Linked DNA regions of Lonchura striata. The protein of the gene in region 1 purifies or fractionates together with the protein of each later gene. This does not show direct contact. Links are inferred from orthologs where the notes say so. Each region holds a gene or a part of one and is shown on either strand. Other genes may lie near its edges.

The links.
Region 2: the proteins of ASIC1 (region 1) and PICK1 purify together in Homo sapiens (affinity purification with western blotting; 3 studies listed by BioGRID and IntAct, with this or other methods). This does not show direct contact. The link is inferred for Lonchura striata from reciprocal best matches to the Homo sapiens genes ASIC1 and PICK1.

The regions. Positions count from the first base shown.
Region 1 is NC_134629.1:8,787,113-8,794,823, forward strand, and holds the start of ASIC1 (acid-sensing ion channel 1), read left to right. Parts: upstream 1-4,706; 5' UTR 4,707-4,929; coding exon 4,930-5,553; intron 5,554-6,251; coding exon 6,252-6,402; intron 6,403-6,882; coding exon 6,883-7,010; intron 7,011-7,200; coding exon 7,201-7,351; intron 7,352-7,431; coding exon 7,432-7,488; intron 7,489-7,571; coding exon 7,572-7,711. UniProt on the Homo sapiens protein: Forms voltage-independent, pH-gated trimeric sodium channels that act as postsynaptic excitatory receptors in the nervous system, playing a crucial role in regulating synaptic plasticity, learning, and memory.
Region 2 is NC_134607.1:23,618,943-23,626,792, forward strand, and holds the start of PICK1 (PRKCA-binding protein), read left to right. Parts: upstream 1-4,849; 5' UTR 4,850-4,896; intron 4,897-4,900; exon of another isoform or gene 4,901-5,004; intron 5,005-5,006; exon of another isoform or gene 5,007-5,090; intron 5,091-5,122; exon of another isoform or gene 5,123-5,233; intron 5,234-5,244; exon of another isoform or gene 5,245-5,520; intron 5,521-5,627; 5' UTR 5,628-5,678; coding exon 5,679-5,719; intron 5,720-6,285; coding exon 6,286-6,397; intron 6,398-6,860; coding exon 6,861-6,989; intron 6,990-7,112; coding exon 7,113-7,179; intron 7,180-7,850. UniProt on the Homo sapiens protein: Probable adapter protein that bind to and organize the subcellular localization of a variety of membrane proteins containing some PDZ recognition sequence.

The DNA.
Region 1 (7,711 bases):
GCGTGTTTTCCTCCAGGCTCTCAGCCCAAGGACAGAGCTGGGGCAGGGTGTTCCCACCCACTCTGTGATTTATCAGGGATTTTAAACCCCTGCTCTCCCAGCAGGGACAGGGAGACCCTTCCAGAGCCACCACATGCCAGGGCTGTGTGACTACTCTGCTTGGATCAGATTAGATTTGAAAAGCGTGATACGTGCGGAGCCGGAGCGAGCGAGCACAGCAAGGAAACCAGACCGGAACACCGTGGGCTTTTCCCCCGTCCAATAAAACCGCCGGCTCAAATCTGCCTGCATGAACTGTCTGAGCGATTGTGAAGGATGTCGGAAAAAATCGCAACCTGCTTGCGGGTGATTCGTGAGCGGCAGGAAACACGGGGAGGCGTCGGGATAAGGGTCCGCAGGAATAATCCCGGATGCGCGGGAATTAGCGACACCTCGGCAGCGTCCTCCGCGTCCTGGCAGAGTCCTGGTGACCCCTGCACGGCACACAGGGACACGGCCAGCGGGTAAATCACCGTGAAGCTCTCAGCAGTACAAACAGGTTCAATTATAGGAGCGTAAACAGATCCTGGGGAGGAGGATGCGGCGGCTGCGGAGCCGTCACGGCGGATCATCGCCAAGGCTCCAGGGACACGCTGGACTGCCCATGGAGCTGCCCTGGCTGAGCCCCCCAAGACCCTCACCCACGGAGCTGCAGGGGGGTCCCGGCTGAGCCCCCCGAGACCCCCGGCCAGCGTGGCTGCAGGTGGCCTCAGTCCCCGGGGCAGCAGCACCGACACCCAGCAGGGCTGGCTGGGAAGAGCTCGCCCAGGAAAGCTTCGAGAGATTAATAGAGTTTAAATGGAAGCGTTTGGAGAGGAGATAAGGCTCATCTGATATGAAATCATATGGAGCAACGGGATCCAGGGAGGCCCTGGCTCTCTAATGAAGTCCACTTAGCACATTACTCACTATAATGTGCTTTTTATTAAAGTCCTGTGCTGCAGGTGCTGAGTCTGCAGCTGGGAACACGGGGCTGCAATGGCACGGGCACCTGGAGTACCGGACCCCGCCACTTGAAGCAGCCGGGATGCAGCGTGAAAAAGGCACCTTCGCTTTCCTGTCTCCCGTCCCGTTTGATCCAGGGACGCGATTCTGGCATCACCCAGCGCCGCGGCATCACCGGTGCCCGCGGCTGGGGCTGGTGGCCCTGCAGGGACTGGGTGGAGAGGAGGCGGAGGTGGAGAATAATACAGAGGGAAAAACTCCTTTTTAATCATCAATTTTTCTGCATTAGAATGTGACATGCTAATCCACTGTGAAGCGTCTAATCTGGGGGATAAAGGGCCGGATAACACAAGCTGCGCCCGGCTTGGCTGGCAGAGCGAGCCGAGGCAAGGTGGCAGCATCTGATAAGGGGTGCAGGATTAGTCCCGGCACAGATCCCGCCTGCCCAGGCAATCCCACCTTGCTTGGCTGCCTCTGCTCTGTCTCTCGCCAGGGTCAGGGAGGGATCTGCAGCACTGGAGCTGTCCCAGAGCGGCTCATCCCGCCCGGAGCGGCGGTGGCAGCGCTGCCGGTGCCTCCAGCACCATCTTGGCAGCTCTGGGAGCTGCAAAGCACATCCCTGGGCCAAGACAACTGGAAAACCTCATTTTTCTCCCTTTCAGTTTGCACACCCGGGTGCGTGTGGGAGCAGGACAGCCCAGCTGTGGGGTCTCCATCTGCCCCAAATGTCCATTCCCATGCGCTGCTTTGGCTGCCTCATCCCACCGCTCATCCCATCCCTTCCTAGCAGCCAGCTCCGACCTCTGGAGCACCCCCAGGGACAACGTGGGCAGCTCAGCCTCGGCTCAGCCAGTCTTTGGCAGGGACGGGCAGTGCCCGTCACAAAACCGAGCGGGTCCAGCTCCCGGGGCGCTTTCGGCGACAGCATCCCCGGGGCTCGGAGACCTGGGATAACAGAGCTTGCAATGTTGTTTTCTCCTCGCCTCCTCGGGGATTGGTTTATCTCTATGAATAACTCCATCCCGGCTTTGATCTCCTCTGCCATTAAAGCGTGACAGGCTGTGAAATGTGCTGTTGCTGCCGTCAAATCCCGCTCCCGCTTCCCCCCCGCCGCCTCCGTGCTCCCCCGCTCCGGGAAACCTCCTTTCCCAGGCCCGTGAGGAGCTGCAGAGCAGCGAGCGGGGCCGAACCGCCCCGGGACAGTGGCCAAACACGGCGCTGGAGGCAGGAAAAACCCATCTCCTCCTCCCATCCCGCACCTCTCACTGGGGCGGGGAGGAGGGCACGGAGCATCCCCGGTCCCAGCGCCGGCTCGGGCGTGGCGGCATCACCCCAGCACCGCCACGGGGGCTGATGTCACGGCTAATTATAGCATCCCCCGTCCCTCGCCCCCGCCAAAGCTTTACCTGAGAGAGGGTAAAAATAACTCCCGGCGAGGGAGGAGCTGGAACGAGCCCAAGGACTCCTCCAGCATCTCCAAAACTCGCACAAACCAGGACGGCACCCCCCTGGCTGCAGCACACGGCTGCACTTTGTCCCCAGTCTGGGGGTCGGGACGCGCTCCCCTCGGCGCTGGTGCCGCCGTGCTCCGGGCTGCGGCTGTCCCCGGTCACCTTCACCCCGGCTCGGGTGTCGGCGCCGGGACAGGCGGCGGTAACCGGAGCCGGGCCCTGCTGCTGGGAACCAGCCCGGCGCACCCCGCGAGCTGTTGAAGCCGAGCGAAGCAGGTTAATGGCCCCAGTCGATGATGGAATGTTTTCATTACGGCATCTTTCTCGCTCTCTCCCTGCTGCAATCGCTCCCGAGAAGACACATTAAACCTCCCCGCGCCGAGGGAGCGGATCCGCCCCTCGCTCGCACCGTCAGGGACTGCCTGATGGCCTCGGCAGCTCCGCTCACCTGTGCGAGCCCTGCCGGGGCTCAACAACCCCCTCAACCTGCAGTTCCTCAATTCCTTTTCCCTTTTCCTCTGCCCTCAACAGCCGTGGCACAGGAACCCAGTGCCAGAGCTGGGAGCAGCAGAAATCCCAGCCCAAACCCGGAGAGCTCCTGCCTGCTCCTCCCTGTCCCAAGCATCCTCTGAGCCAGCTTGTGTGGGATCAGCCCAGTGTTCCCACAGGGCTGAGCCAGCCCAACTCTTCCAAAGCCCCTCCTGATGCTGTTACAGCCCTGCCCTGCAGCTGCAGCTCATCCCCACCGAAGACACAGGGCACCTGAGACCCGGCCCCATGTTCTGGTGGCTCCCAGCCACCCAATCCACCTTCCTGATTCTCTTTTCTAGGAAGAGTTTTCCTCTCAGATTCTCTGGGATGCTCCCAAAGGGTGTAACCTTGATCTTGGCCTGATGAAATTTCATCCCGTGCCTCTGGTACTCATCCCCAAGGTCATCCATTCTTTCCCCCAGGTCTCCAAGTGGCATCTGGCAGTGTCCCTCTTTCACAAGGGCCCGATTGAAGGGAACATTGAGCTCAGGGAGCCCCAGGATGGGACACCCCACTGTCACATCATGGATCACTGCCCCTGGCAGGGATCCCCAGCATGTTCCACTGGCACCACCTGCCCAGGAATCTCAGATAACTGTGCTGGTATCAGATCAGATTTTTACTGAGTTCCTGGCGGATTTGTTCTCCCAGTTTGTGGTGTCCACGTGCGCTGGGATGTGCTCAGGGTCCAGGAACTCTGCAGGGAAGGAGATGCAGCAGCTGAACTGAGGGCTTGGGGTGAACTTCTTCCACCCAGGCACCAGCCCAAAGCTCCCATCCAGCCCCTGCACTTCCAAGTGCTGCTGGATTTAGATTCTCCCCCGGTGCCGGGATGGGGCTGGAGATTGCTCTGTGGTCTCTGGATGCTTTTATGAAGTGCTGAGTACAGGAAAGCAGCAAACCACGAGAAGGGGCTGTGCTGTGCAGAGAGGAGACGCCTGCACTCCCAGCAGCTCCATCCCAGCGTCCTGCACCAGAGCTGCTCCCTGGGACCCCCCAGCCTGGCTGGTTCAGCAGCACGGGGCCTGGAGGCCATTCCTTGAGGGAAGAGGGGCTCCCCATGCCCCACTGGGATCCAAAGCATGAGGCGACGTGCCCAGCACTGACTGGGCTCTGCAGAAGGACTCGTTGCCTGGACAGCACCCAAACCCTGTGAAGACCAGCCCTGCTGGGAGGAGGACAGACCTCACACCACTGGGAACGCCGCATTTGCTGGATTCTCACATGCACACGCCGGTGCCCTGCGGCACAGGGGGACGAGCCTGCAGGGATGGGCACTGCCAGGGCAGGAGGAGCATCGTAGGAGCCTGAGGACACCACAGCATCCTTCCCCCCACGCGGACCACCGCTGAACCAGGACAGTGTCACGGGCATTTGGGGAAAACCTCTGGCTCCAGCTGCCCTGGGGATGACTGCAGAGAGCCTGGCATACGGCGGCTCTGGAGACAGCCGGGACCCAGCAGGGAGGGCCTGGCTGGAGCAGCCGCTTGGGCTGCCAGGGCCAGACCACTCAAGGATGGAGGGCACGGCATGGGGATGCAGCGCCGGGTACCTGCCCGCCGGCACACACCGTGTGCCCCTCGGGCGCCCAGGCAGCACTGGGAGCTCCCACGGTGCTTCTGGAGCCGGTGATGTCCCTGCTCCCTCCTGGCAGCCGGAGCCGGCCGGTCCCGAGGGGCCTGGGGAGCCCGCGGAACCGCCCCTCGCTCCTCCTCCCCTCCTGCTCCTGATATACCCTCCTCGCTCCGGCCCCTCCGAGCATCCCTCTGCTCCTCTCCCTCACTCCCGCTCGCCTTTCCCTTCTCCGTTTCTCCTCTCTCAACTTGCCCCTTCCCCCTCCCCTGCTCTCCTCAGCCCCTCTCCACCGAGGAACTGACTGAAGACCCCAGGCTGGGGCAGGGCGCGGGCCAAGACCCCCACACCAGAGCCAGGACCTCCACAGCTGGGACCCCCAGGCTGGGCAATGCCTCTCCAGATATTCTGCACCATCTCCTTCTCCAGCGAGGAAGCACCAGAAGATGCTGCAGCCACTGCGAAGGGAGAAGATGAAGCAGACGAGTTCCTGTATGGGCAGGAGGAGGATGAAGAGGACGAGGAGGACGCAGGAGCAGCCACGGACTTCGTGGCCTTTGCCAGCAGCTGCACCCTGCATGGGCTGAGCCACATCTTCGTGGAAGGCAGCCTGGGTGCCCGGCAGGCACTGTGGGCGCTGGCATTCCTCCTCTCCCTCTCCGTCTTCCTCTACCAGGTGGCCGACCGCATCGCCTACTACCTGGAGTACCACCACGTCACGCTGCTCAGCGAGGAGGACAGCCCCGAGATGACCTTCCCCGCAGTCACCTTCTGCAACATCAACCGTGTGCGGCTCTCGCAGCTCAGCCACGAGGACTTGCTCTACCTGGCCCCTCTGGTGGACTATGAGCCTGGGATGGAGCTGGGCTTCACCCCGGCCCAGCCCGGCCCCTGGGAGGAGGACGAGCCCCTAAATTTGTACGGGTTTTTTAACCGCACTTGCCACCAGCTGGAGGACATGCTGCTGAGCTGCAGCTACCGCGGCCAGCGCTGCGGCCCCGGGGACTTTGCGCCGGTGAGTAGCCCCAGGGTGGCCCGGCACGGGGAGCAGCTCCGGCGCTGATCGGTGCCAGATCAGGCAGGTGATGCTGCCCTTGGAGCTTGCTCAGGGACAGGCTGATATTTCAGCCCCATCTGCCAGAGCTGGGGACGGCACCGGCTGTGGAGATGCTCTGGTGGGACATGGAGCGTATCCCCGGGGCTGTGCTTGCTGAGGAAGTGCCTGGCACCTCCATCCTGCTGCCATCAGGGCTTGTGGGGCACCATGTGGTGCGAGCCCACTGCCCTCACATGTCCCTTGCCCAGGCTGGCAGCAGCTCCGTGGTTTTGGGGCCGTGCTGACTGCCGGAGGTGAGAGCTGGAACGGCTGAGCAGGGATGGGGGGGTCCAGGATCCTGTCCAGCCCCATCCTTTGCAGGGATGGAGGAGGGCTTGGAGAAGGGCGTCAGGCTGAGTGCCACCACCCTGGGGAGCCACAGCTGCCGTGGGCTCTCTGTAAATCCCTTCTGAGTCCATCCCTGTGGGAACATCTCCTCCTCCACCAGGGCCAAGATGAGCAGTTCCAACACTGAGAGATGCTGTGGGTCAGGAGCCTGGGTCGGACCATGCCCAGGCTGGGATGGCTGAGTTTTGGGGTTGGGGACGCTCTCCTGGCTCTGTGCTGTGGCTGCACACAGAGGGGCCTCAGCCTCAGCCCTGTGTCCTCTCCTGCAGGTCTTCACCCGCTATGGGAAGTGCTACACCTTCAATGCGGGGCAGGACGGGAAGCCCCGGCTCATCACCATGAAGGGGGGCACTGGCAACGGCCTGGAGATCATGCTGGACATCCAGCAGGACGAGTACCTGCCAGTGTGGGGGGAAACAGGTAACCCACTGCCCCAGTGGGCCCACTCAGCCACCAGCAGCTCCTGGGGTGCTGCCCAGCCCCTACTCACCTCCCCAGCCCCTTCCCAGCTCCCCAGACCACAGATCCACCTCCCTGAAGCTCCCTTCTCTCCCTCCTTCCATTTCTCATCACTTCTGGTCTTTTCTTTCCCTTTTCCTCTTTGTCTTTGCTCTTTGCCATGGCAACTCCCCATCATTTAGACACGCAGCCATCACTTGTTTATAAATAGAGTCAAATACTTTCCCTGCCACGCTCCTGGGTGTGGAGCAGGGGGGTCGGGGCGGAGCGGGCAAGGACATGGTGCAGCAAACAGAGGGACAGATGGATGGCCATGTGGATGAATGACTTGGCCCAGGGGAAGCTTGGGAGGCAGAAGTTGTGGTCCCTCTCACGGCAGGCTCAGCACAGCCCCTTAGAGCAGGGACAGTGCTGTGCTCACCTCCCTTCTCTCTGCCACAGATGAGACCTCGTTCGAAGCTGGGATCAAGGTGCAGATCCACAGCCAGGACGAGCCCCCGCTGATCGACCAGCTGGGCTTCGGGGTGGCTCCCGGCTTCCAGACCTTCGTGTCCTGCCAGGAGCAACGGGTAGGAACTGGGCAGGTGTGGGACGTCCCTCCCAGCCTGAGTTGCAGGAGCAGAGTCTCCTCACTGTGCCCCTGTCCCCATGCCGATGGAGGGGAGGACCCGGTCCTGGGGAGCAGTGCCACGAGGGTCTCTGTCCCCTGCCACACTGAGGGGGGTTCTCTCCTCACTCCTGGCTTCTTTCCCCTTGCAGCTCATCTACCTGCCGCCTCCCTGGGGCGACTGCAAGGCCGTGGCGGGCGACTCGGAGTTCTACGACACCTACAGCATCACGGCCTGCCGGATCGACTGCGAGACCCGCTACCTGGTGGAGAACTGCAACTGCCGCATGGTGCACATGCCAGGTGAGCCCCGTGCCTGGCCTGGCCCCGACCCAGCCCTCCGGTGTGCTCCCACCTGCAAAACGTGCTCTGTGTCTCCCCAGGCGATGCCCCTTACTGCACCCCGGAGCAGTACAAGGAGTGCGCGGACCCGGCCTTAGGTGAGGCTGCCCGGCCCCGTGGGTGGGACGGAGCCGCGGTGTTGGGTTTCTCCATCTCGTCATCCCCCTCTCTCCCCGCACAGATTTCCTGGTGGAGAAGGACAATGAATACTGCATCTGTGAGATGCCCTGCAACATGACCCGCTACGGCAAAGAGCTCTCCATGGTCAAGATCCCCAGCAAGGCCTCGGCCAAGTACCTGGCCAAGAAGTACAACAAGTCG
Region 2 (7,850 bases), on another chromosome or scaffold:
GTCTCTGTCCATCACTCGTCTCTGCACGCAATGGGGTAATTAAACCCTGACCCTGGGCTCCTTTTATCCATTTCCTCTGCACAGTCACTCCCCAAAATGGCAGAGGGAGGGCCTGCTGTGGAGGTTCCTGCCCCAGTCTCCAGCTCTAATGAAGATGTGAAGCACAGAAGAAGGACCTGTTGTGAAAAGAAATATGCTAATGAGGCAGCCAAAGAAGTATTGAGTGGTACAAGGCTTCCTTCATGATTGTGCTGAGCTCTGCTGACCCACCTCCACTGGACAAGGCTTTGTAAACCTTCAATTCTGTATCATCATGCCCACAGATTGTCCAGCATACTTCCCCTGCCCAAGCACACCTACAGAAAACCTACTACTCCTCTGCATGTCTTCAGGGCCGTGACAGGTGTAGTGGCCACCTCAGATCTAGCAAAAGAAAATCAATCAATCAATCAATCAATCAATCAATCAATCAAACAAACAAACAAACAAAAACAAACAAAAAATTTTCCAGAAGTCTCAATATATCCAGCCCTGGGCTTGCACACCCACAAGATCAATACAAAGTTTCTGCCCTCCCTGGTGTGAACCTATTGCCTCCACTTGGACTAAGCCAAATGACTCAGGCCTGATGCAGGACTTTCCTCATTAAACATCTGTAGAAGGGCAGAAGGAGGTCTCAGTGATGGGGTGAATCCCATGGAGCACAGTGGATGGACAGGAGCTGGCTGCGACAAGGTGATGTTGCTCTTGTCTGCACAGAAGGACAATGGAGGATACACCCAGTGACAGACAGGAGTCACAAAATGGAGAAGTCCTTTTTCTTTATTTCTCTTTCTGCTTTCTGGCACTCTGCAAACTTTATGACAAAGATTGATAAATAGCCAGAAATTATCTCGAGCAATCCAGACTCTGCTTCCTCCTCCTTACCCTGAGTGGGGAAGCTGCCTTCCTCCCACGCATGAGCAAGAAGGGCTGGGGCCACCCGGGGAAGGGCATGACGGGTAAAGCAGTGCCCCCAAACAATTAAGTACTGTCCCAGGCACTGCACACCCTTGTCCTGGGAACAAAAGAGTCACACACAAGAGACCTGACTGTGAAGCCTCCATCCGCTTTCATCACTGACCCCCAGGGCAGGCAGGGCACAAGGTCAGCCCACTTAAACTCCAAACTCGGCCAGAAATAGAGCTGGGAAGTGGGCAAGGGTGGCCAACTGCAGGGGTCCCCAAGCATTTGAGGGGTTCTTTGACTGAGCCATTTCATTTCATCAAAGACACATTTTTTTTCTGGAAGGAAAATGGAGAGCAGTGGGTGTGAAAGGAGTAAGGGGGAGGCAGGGTGTTCACCATGAGTTATGACCACTCTCAACAACAGTCTTTTACATTGCAGAGGTGAGGAGAGGATGGGGTAATTGGGCATGTTAGACCCATGCATAATGAGAGCAAGTCTCTGCCTGTTTCCCACCCCTCACTCTGCTACTGCTCATGAGATGTAGTCCCCCATATGCCCTGTCACTATTCTGCTGTGGAGCTCAACATCCCAAGGGCTCATCCCAAGGACCACAAGCTTTGATAGCACCTTGCCAGACCAGTAGTGCCCCTGGGCTGTGCAATAGAGTGTAGTCATGCCCCTGGATTGGAAAGGATAAAAGTATAGCCTTACAAAGCAAAACTTAGCAGCCAAGTCAGAGCTCATGCTTTCCACCTGCAGGGTCTCAGAAAACCCATGAGGTTTTAAGTTGCCTTTAAGGTTTTTCATGTTGCGAGTACTGATTTTGGGAGTAATGCTTTCATAGAAGTAACAGCTGCACCAGATGCCCCTGAGACCTATCTCCTTGTCTGGGAGAAGAAATCTGTGGGGATGAAGTCCAGGGGCACTGAAACATGTTTGGTGTATGTGGAAATACAATGCACCTACTATGGAGCATTGTCCATTTCCCCCAGCTTCCCTCTGGATAAACCTTGGAGAATCCTAAATGAAGGGAACTTCAGAGGAAGAACAATGAAAACACCCAGTGAAAGCAGTCCCCTATTCCACCCCAACAGGGCCATGTCCTAGCTGCCCCTATAGAGGCTGCTGCAAGTCTTGGCAACACCCAGCAGGAATGGGGTAGGGATAGGGCAGGCTGTGCAGTGATGGGCAGAGAATACAACCTCAACACTTACTCACTGAAAGTTCCCCCAAAAACAGACAACGTGGCTCAAGGGACAGCAATCAAGGAGGATGTTAGTCCAGAGTTAGTCATGTTGACACTGAAAACAGTAGCAGAAAAGCAGCCAGAAACATGAGATTCAGCACAGCTCCAGTACGCAGAAATACATCTGAGTGCCAAGAAACTAACCAGTCATGCAATGTGTGATCTGCTAGCAGACTCTTTATTACACCTAACGAAAGACAAGCAGAACGGAGTTTTGACTCTCAGAGTCAAACTTTTCATGGATTGTATACTTGGGGGTTAGAAAAATCTAATGTGCAAACTAAGCCATCTTGATTAAAGCCATATTGGTAGACTGCAGTGCACGCAATTTTCAAGAGAAAGCTGCATTTCAAATTTTTGATACAATTAATCAGATCTATTCTTGAAAATGAACAGCTTCCTGGGATTTTTTAAAAATGCTGGCTAACCTTACTTTTTTGGATTTTAGGCAACCATTTTCATTAGCAATTCATTACTTCTCCCCTTGGGAGGAAGCAATCAGGCAATGGATTTCTACTATTGAGACAGACATGGCTTTAGGGCACATGCAGATTCATTCTCCATGTCACACAGAGAGAATCCAATCGATCTTGGACACTTTGTGGCAGCTGTGCACAAAAGGCAGGGTCAGCCCGCATACGTGTACAAAGGCTGATGCTTCAGGGATGTACTGAAGGACACGCACAATGCGCACACTTCGCTGGAGCAGCAAAAAACAAGGCTCATCAGACCTACAGGTTTTGGCCTTGTCAGTGTTTTCCACCTCGGGTGAGTTCTGCTTATTGTCTTTATTTTGAACGGCAGAAGATGCCAGCAAAGGAAACATTCACTGCTTGTTCATCTCTCTTGCAGCTCTAGTAGCAGAAGCAGACAGCAGGAGAAATGAGGTCCTGCAACTTCTTTTAAACAGTCTGATGCCCAGACAATCCACAAGGCTCTGAGAAATCCCCTTTGGCGCAATGAAAGGATTCACATTATGCAGGTGTTCTGTGTGTGAAAAACCTGTGTGGAAAACCTCTTTTTCCCCCTTTTGCAGTAAAATAGGATAAATATCCCACCTCCGCACACCCTGAATCCAGGCCCCCTCCTGCAGCAGGACCACACGGTGGCGCTCCAAATTTAGAAATAGAGCCTGGCCGGGGGCGACCCTGCCACCCCCGGGGGCGACAGCGCGGGGACAGCGCGGGACACACGGCCCCGACCCTGCCACCCCCAGCGGCGACAGCGCGGGGACAGCGCGGGACACACGGCCCCGACCCTGCCAACCCCCGGGGCCTCTCTCAGGACCGCAGCATCACAGAATCTGTCCTGCTAATTGCCACTGTCTCCAGGGATGGATGTTCCACCACCTCTCTGGGCTGATGTAGCAGTGCTTACCCACCCTCACAGTGATTTTTATTCCTTTCCTTGCACTGTAATTCCATCCTACAACTTGCAAGCCATTCCTCCTGTCTTTAGCTGTGCAAAACCGCTCAGAACAGTCTGGGTCTGTCTTGTCTGTATCACCTGCAGCCACAGTCAAGTGCTGCTGTACTGCTGAGCCCCAGCAAGCTCTTCATGCAGGGATCAGGGTCTGGCTCATCAATTCGGGAGCTTCACTGATGTAAAGCTCCTGTCAGTGGCCAGGGTCAGGATGTCAGTCTCTTTTCTTCAGAGCTCCCACCTGAAGGACTGCATTTCTCATTCAGCTTCCCCTCATAAATAAATCTCATCTTAGACCCAGGACTATAAAATGATTATTAACAACGCACTCTTGCCCCTTGTAGTCCAGCATTGTGGGTGGCTTCAGTCAGTGTTTTGATGTATGCAGACAAGAGGCTCAAGGGGCTGCATACCACAAACACTAACCAGCCTCTCAGCCAGCAGGAGAGGTCACTGCCATGGCCAGCCCTTGCTCCTACTCACGGAGGAGTTTTCAGTTCAAAGAATACAATGTTGGGGTTGTGGGGTTTTTTTTGATCTGTGTCAGTAAGTTGGGGTTGGAAGCCTGGTATTGCTCAGAAGCCAGGAGCAATTGGAAAAGATGATCCATAATGCAACAAGGCAACCGCAATTCTCTGGGAAATCAAAGCATTCTCCCAGAGCTGGTGTCACGATGGAGGCAGGAAAACCATTTGAACAGCCAACCAGTGCCCCCACATAGATCGCAGAGGAGAAGAACATGTGGAAGCCCGGCGATCCTGCACACACGGCGGTGCAGGGGGTTTGCACACAGCATGCTGACAGGCTCCCACATCCGCTGGCATCCGATGCTTCCTCAGGTCACTGCCGATTGTGATCGTGCCACGCAATTTCACAGAATCACCGAATCAATTAGGTTGGAGAACACCTCCGAGACCACGGAGTCCAACTGAACACCACCACGTCAACCAGACCGCCACACCGAGTGCCGTGTCCAGTCTCCTTAAACACCTGCAGGGACGGTGACTCCACCAGCTCCCTGGGCAGCCCATTACGATATCTAACCATCCCTCCCGTGAAGAAATTCCTCCTGACGTCCCACCCAAACCTCCCCCGGTGCAGCTGGGCGAAGAGCCCGCTCCGCACGCGGCAGGGGGGGTTTCAGAGAGCGGCCCTGAGCCCGCGCTCGGCCAGGCCCGGCCGCCCGGTGCCCGTGGCAACGCGGCGGGCGGGGCGGCGCTTCCGGGCGGCGCCGGCGCTGACGCGGCGGGCGGGGGCTGACGGCGCCGCGGCCGCTCCCGGTGAGCCTGGGGCCCGCAGGGCCGCCCCCGCGGCTGCCCCCAGCCCTGCCCTGCCCTGCCCGCAGCCCCTGCCCGGCCCCGGCACGCTGAGCTGTCGGTGAAGCCCCGGTCCGTCAGGGTCGGGCGTGGTGGAGGCGACCACCCTCACGGCGTCACCGTGGCTTGGGTGCTGGGAGGGTGGGCGGAAGCCAAAGGTGCCAGCTAATTAGTGCCCGAAAGTAAATGGAGGCGAGGTTTGTGCATGGGGCAGTGAGGAGGCTCGCTGAGCACGGCCTGCCGAGACAGGCGGTGAATGTCAGGGAGTGACGTGACTTGCTGTGAAGGCCAGGACACGGAGGTGTGCGATGGATGTCGGGGATAAAAATGAGTGTCTTTAGCAGCTGTGGTGCAAGGTCGAGCGTGCGGAGGAGCAGCTTCGGGAAGGGAACACGTTTTGTTGTGTGCTTTGGAAATGGTGCACGTGTGTCAGTCTTGGGTTTGGGACGTGCAGCATTCAAACTCGAGGACTTTATCCTGTTGCATGCACAGCAGAGAACCAGGAACACTTCACTCGTTTTTCATCTTTTGATATAAGAGCAGAGATGACAATGTGGCATTCCAAAAAGAAAAAGGAGACTGATAAAGGTCACAGGCTTGTTCTCTGGTGTTTTGTTTTGTTGTTTTTTTTTTTTTTTTTTTTTCCCCTATTGCAGTCATTCTTTTATTTGGTTTATTCTGTTCTTTCTTCCCAGGGAGTTTGGAATAAACAGCTTCAGACAAACAGATTCCACTGAACCAAAACAATGTTTGCAGATTTGGACTATGATATTGAGGAAGATAAGCTGTGAGTATTTCTCTTGTCTTTTCCTGGTGTTTCTTATAATAGAATTTAGCTTCGCAGCCAAGACCTAATGAAAGTTGATAAATTTACCTGTGTATGACACTGTGTGCTGAACATCAGCCTTCCTGTTCCATACTGATTTCTTGCTCCCTCTGGAGAGTGGGGATGAGGCATTGCTGTGCTGGTGAGCAGAGGAGAATAGTTGTATTGCTCTGCAGTGACTGCCTTGCATTTAACATAGAGCACTTGATTTGCATCACATTTATGCTGTGCAAGTTGTCCTCTCACTCCAGCACTAAGTGCAGGTGAAACACTAAAGCATGATAGTGTTTCCTCAGTGCCTAGCAATGGATGAGGGTGTCTCTTCCACCTGTAATCCTTGCATGCAATCCCAAGAAAAAGATGGCACAGAAAGTCTCCTGGGCTGGCCCAGCTCTGTGGCAGAAGTGAAGGAATGAATTCAGATGTGCAATGTCCATGATGTTCTCCATTTATACTGACTCAGATACCAGAGTTGTTTCATATGCGGGCAGCTCTGCCTATGTTCAGTTATTCCTTTCTCTTTGTAGGGGTATCCCCACTGTACCTGGGACAGTGACCCTGAAGAAGGACTCTCAGAATCTGATTGGGATCAGCATTGGAGGAGGAGCACAGTACTGCCCCTGTCTCTACATTGTCCAGGTGGGCACCTGGGGAGGATAAATAAGCCATCTTTTTAAAACAGTGTTGGCCTGAGAGATGAGAAGTGTGGAAAGAGAGCCCTATGCTTTTTGTGGGAGATGACATCTCACTTTCCAGTGAAAAATTTTCCTTACTCTAGTAGCTACTAGGTGTGGAAGAATTAAATTAAGACTTCTAGAATAGTCCTTCTCCTTGGAGAGCATGTTAGAATTCACAGGGGAACAGTGTGACACTCCCACTGCCAGGAAATCCTATGCTGGAGGAGGCACATCTTAGGGGCAAGAACTTCCTGAGGGAACAAGATGATCAGCCCACCTCTTGGTTAGGGAAGGGGGAAGACTGCAGCTTCACCATGGACAAAGCAGAAGTGAATTAAGTGGGAGGAATGCAGCTGTTTGGTTTGTGCTCTGTAGCTCTGCGTGGGCCCTGCTCCTGCCTGCAGACTGCCTGTGCTCTCTCGCAGGTGTTCGATAACACTCCAGCAGCCTTAGACGGCACCGTAGCAGCTGGGGATGAAATCACTGGGGTCAACGGGAAATCCGTCAAAGGGAAGACCAAAGTGGAGGTGGCCAAGATGATACAGATGGTAAAGGTGAGAGGTAGGAGGGGACCACTGGAGCTTCTGGGTCTTAGTTGGCAGCTTATTGTCCTTGGGTAAAGGGAGCCGCTGCTGCCTGCTTCCAGCACAGCAGTTTGGGGTTTGCTCTTTCTGCAGGGAGAAGTGACAATACACTACAACAAGCTTCAGGCTGACCCAAAGCAGGGCAAGTCTTTGGATATTGGTAAGACTGGTTTCTTTCTCCCTAGAGTGTTAAAATGATGCAGGAAGGGTCCAAAATTGGTCCCAGCCAAAACCAAATCTGTTTCCTTTCTTGCTCTTAGTTCAGTCATTTTCAATTGGATACTGTCAAAGAGAGTTACAGGTTCTAAAAAAAAAAATCCTTCCGTGACATTTTGAAATAGGCTTGAAAGTTGAATCAAGACTTAATTGTTGTTGTGAGAGGCTTGTTTTTCTGTGCTGTGTTTACCATGGATGATGAATCTCAACTGCATAATAATTTAATTAATTTATTTTTACTACGTGCAAGTTAGGCTGACCTATTTTAAGATGTACACAGAAACGTGTTGACTGAAAGGCTTTGGTGGTTATTTCTAACCATGGAGAGCAGTTATGAAATACCTATCTACACGGAGTTTTGTACAAACATAAATTTTATGGGAGACAGGAGAGCTTTTATTACTAAAACAAAGTGTCTGGTTTTGAGCTAAGCCTACACAGCTGTCTCCTTTATATGGTCTGCCTTTCTCACTTTCAGCAAAATGTATCCATTCTCTGCTGTAATTTCTTTTCTTGGTGATTATGGTGCTAATAAATTGACAGGAGTTCTGGAAAATTGTGAATAGTGAGATGGATTTCTGGGAAAACAGAAGTATGATCAGAATATGGTATTTT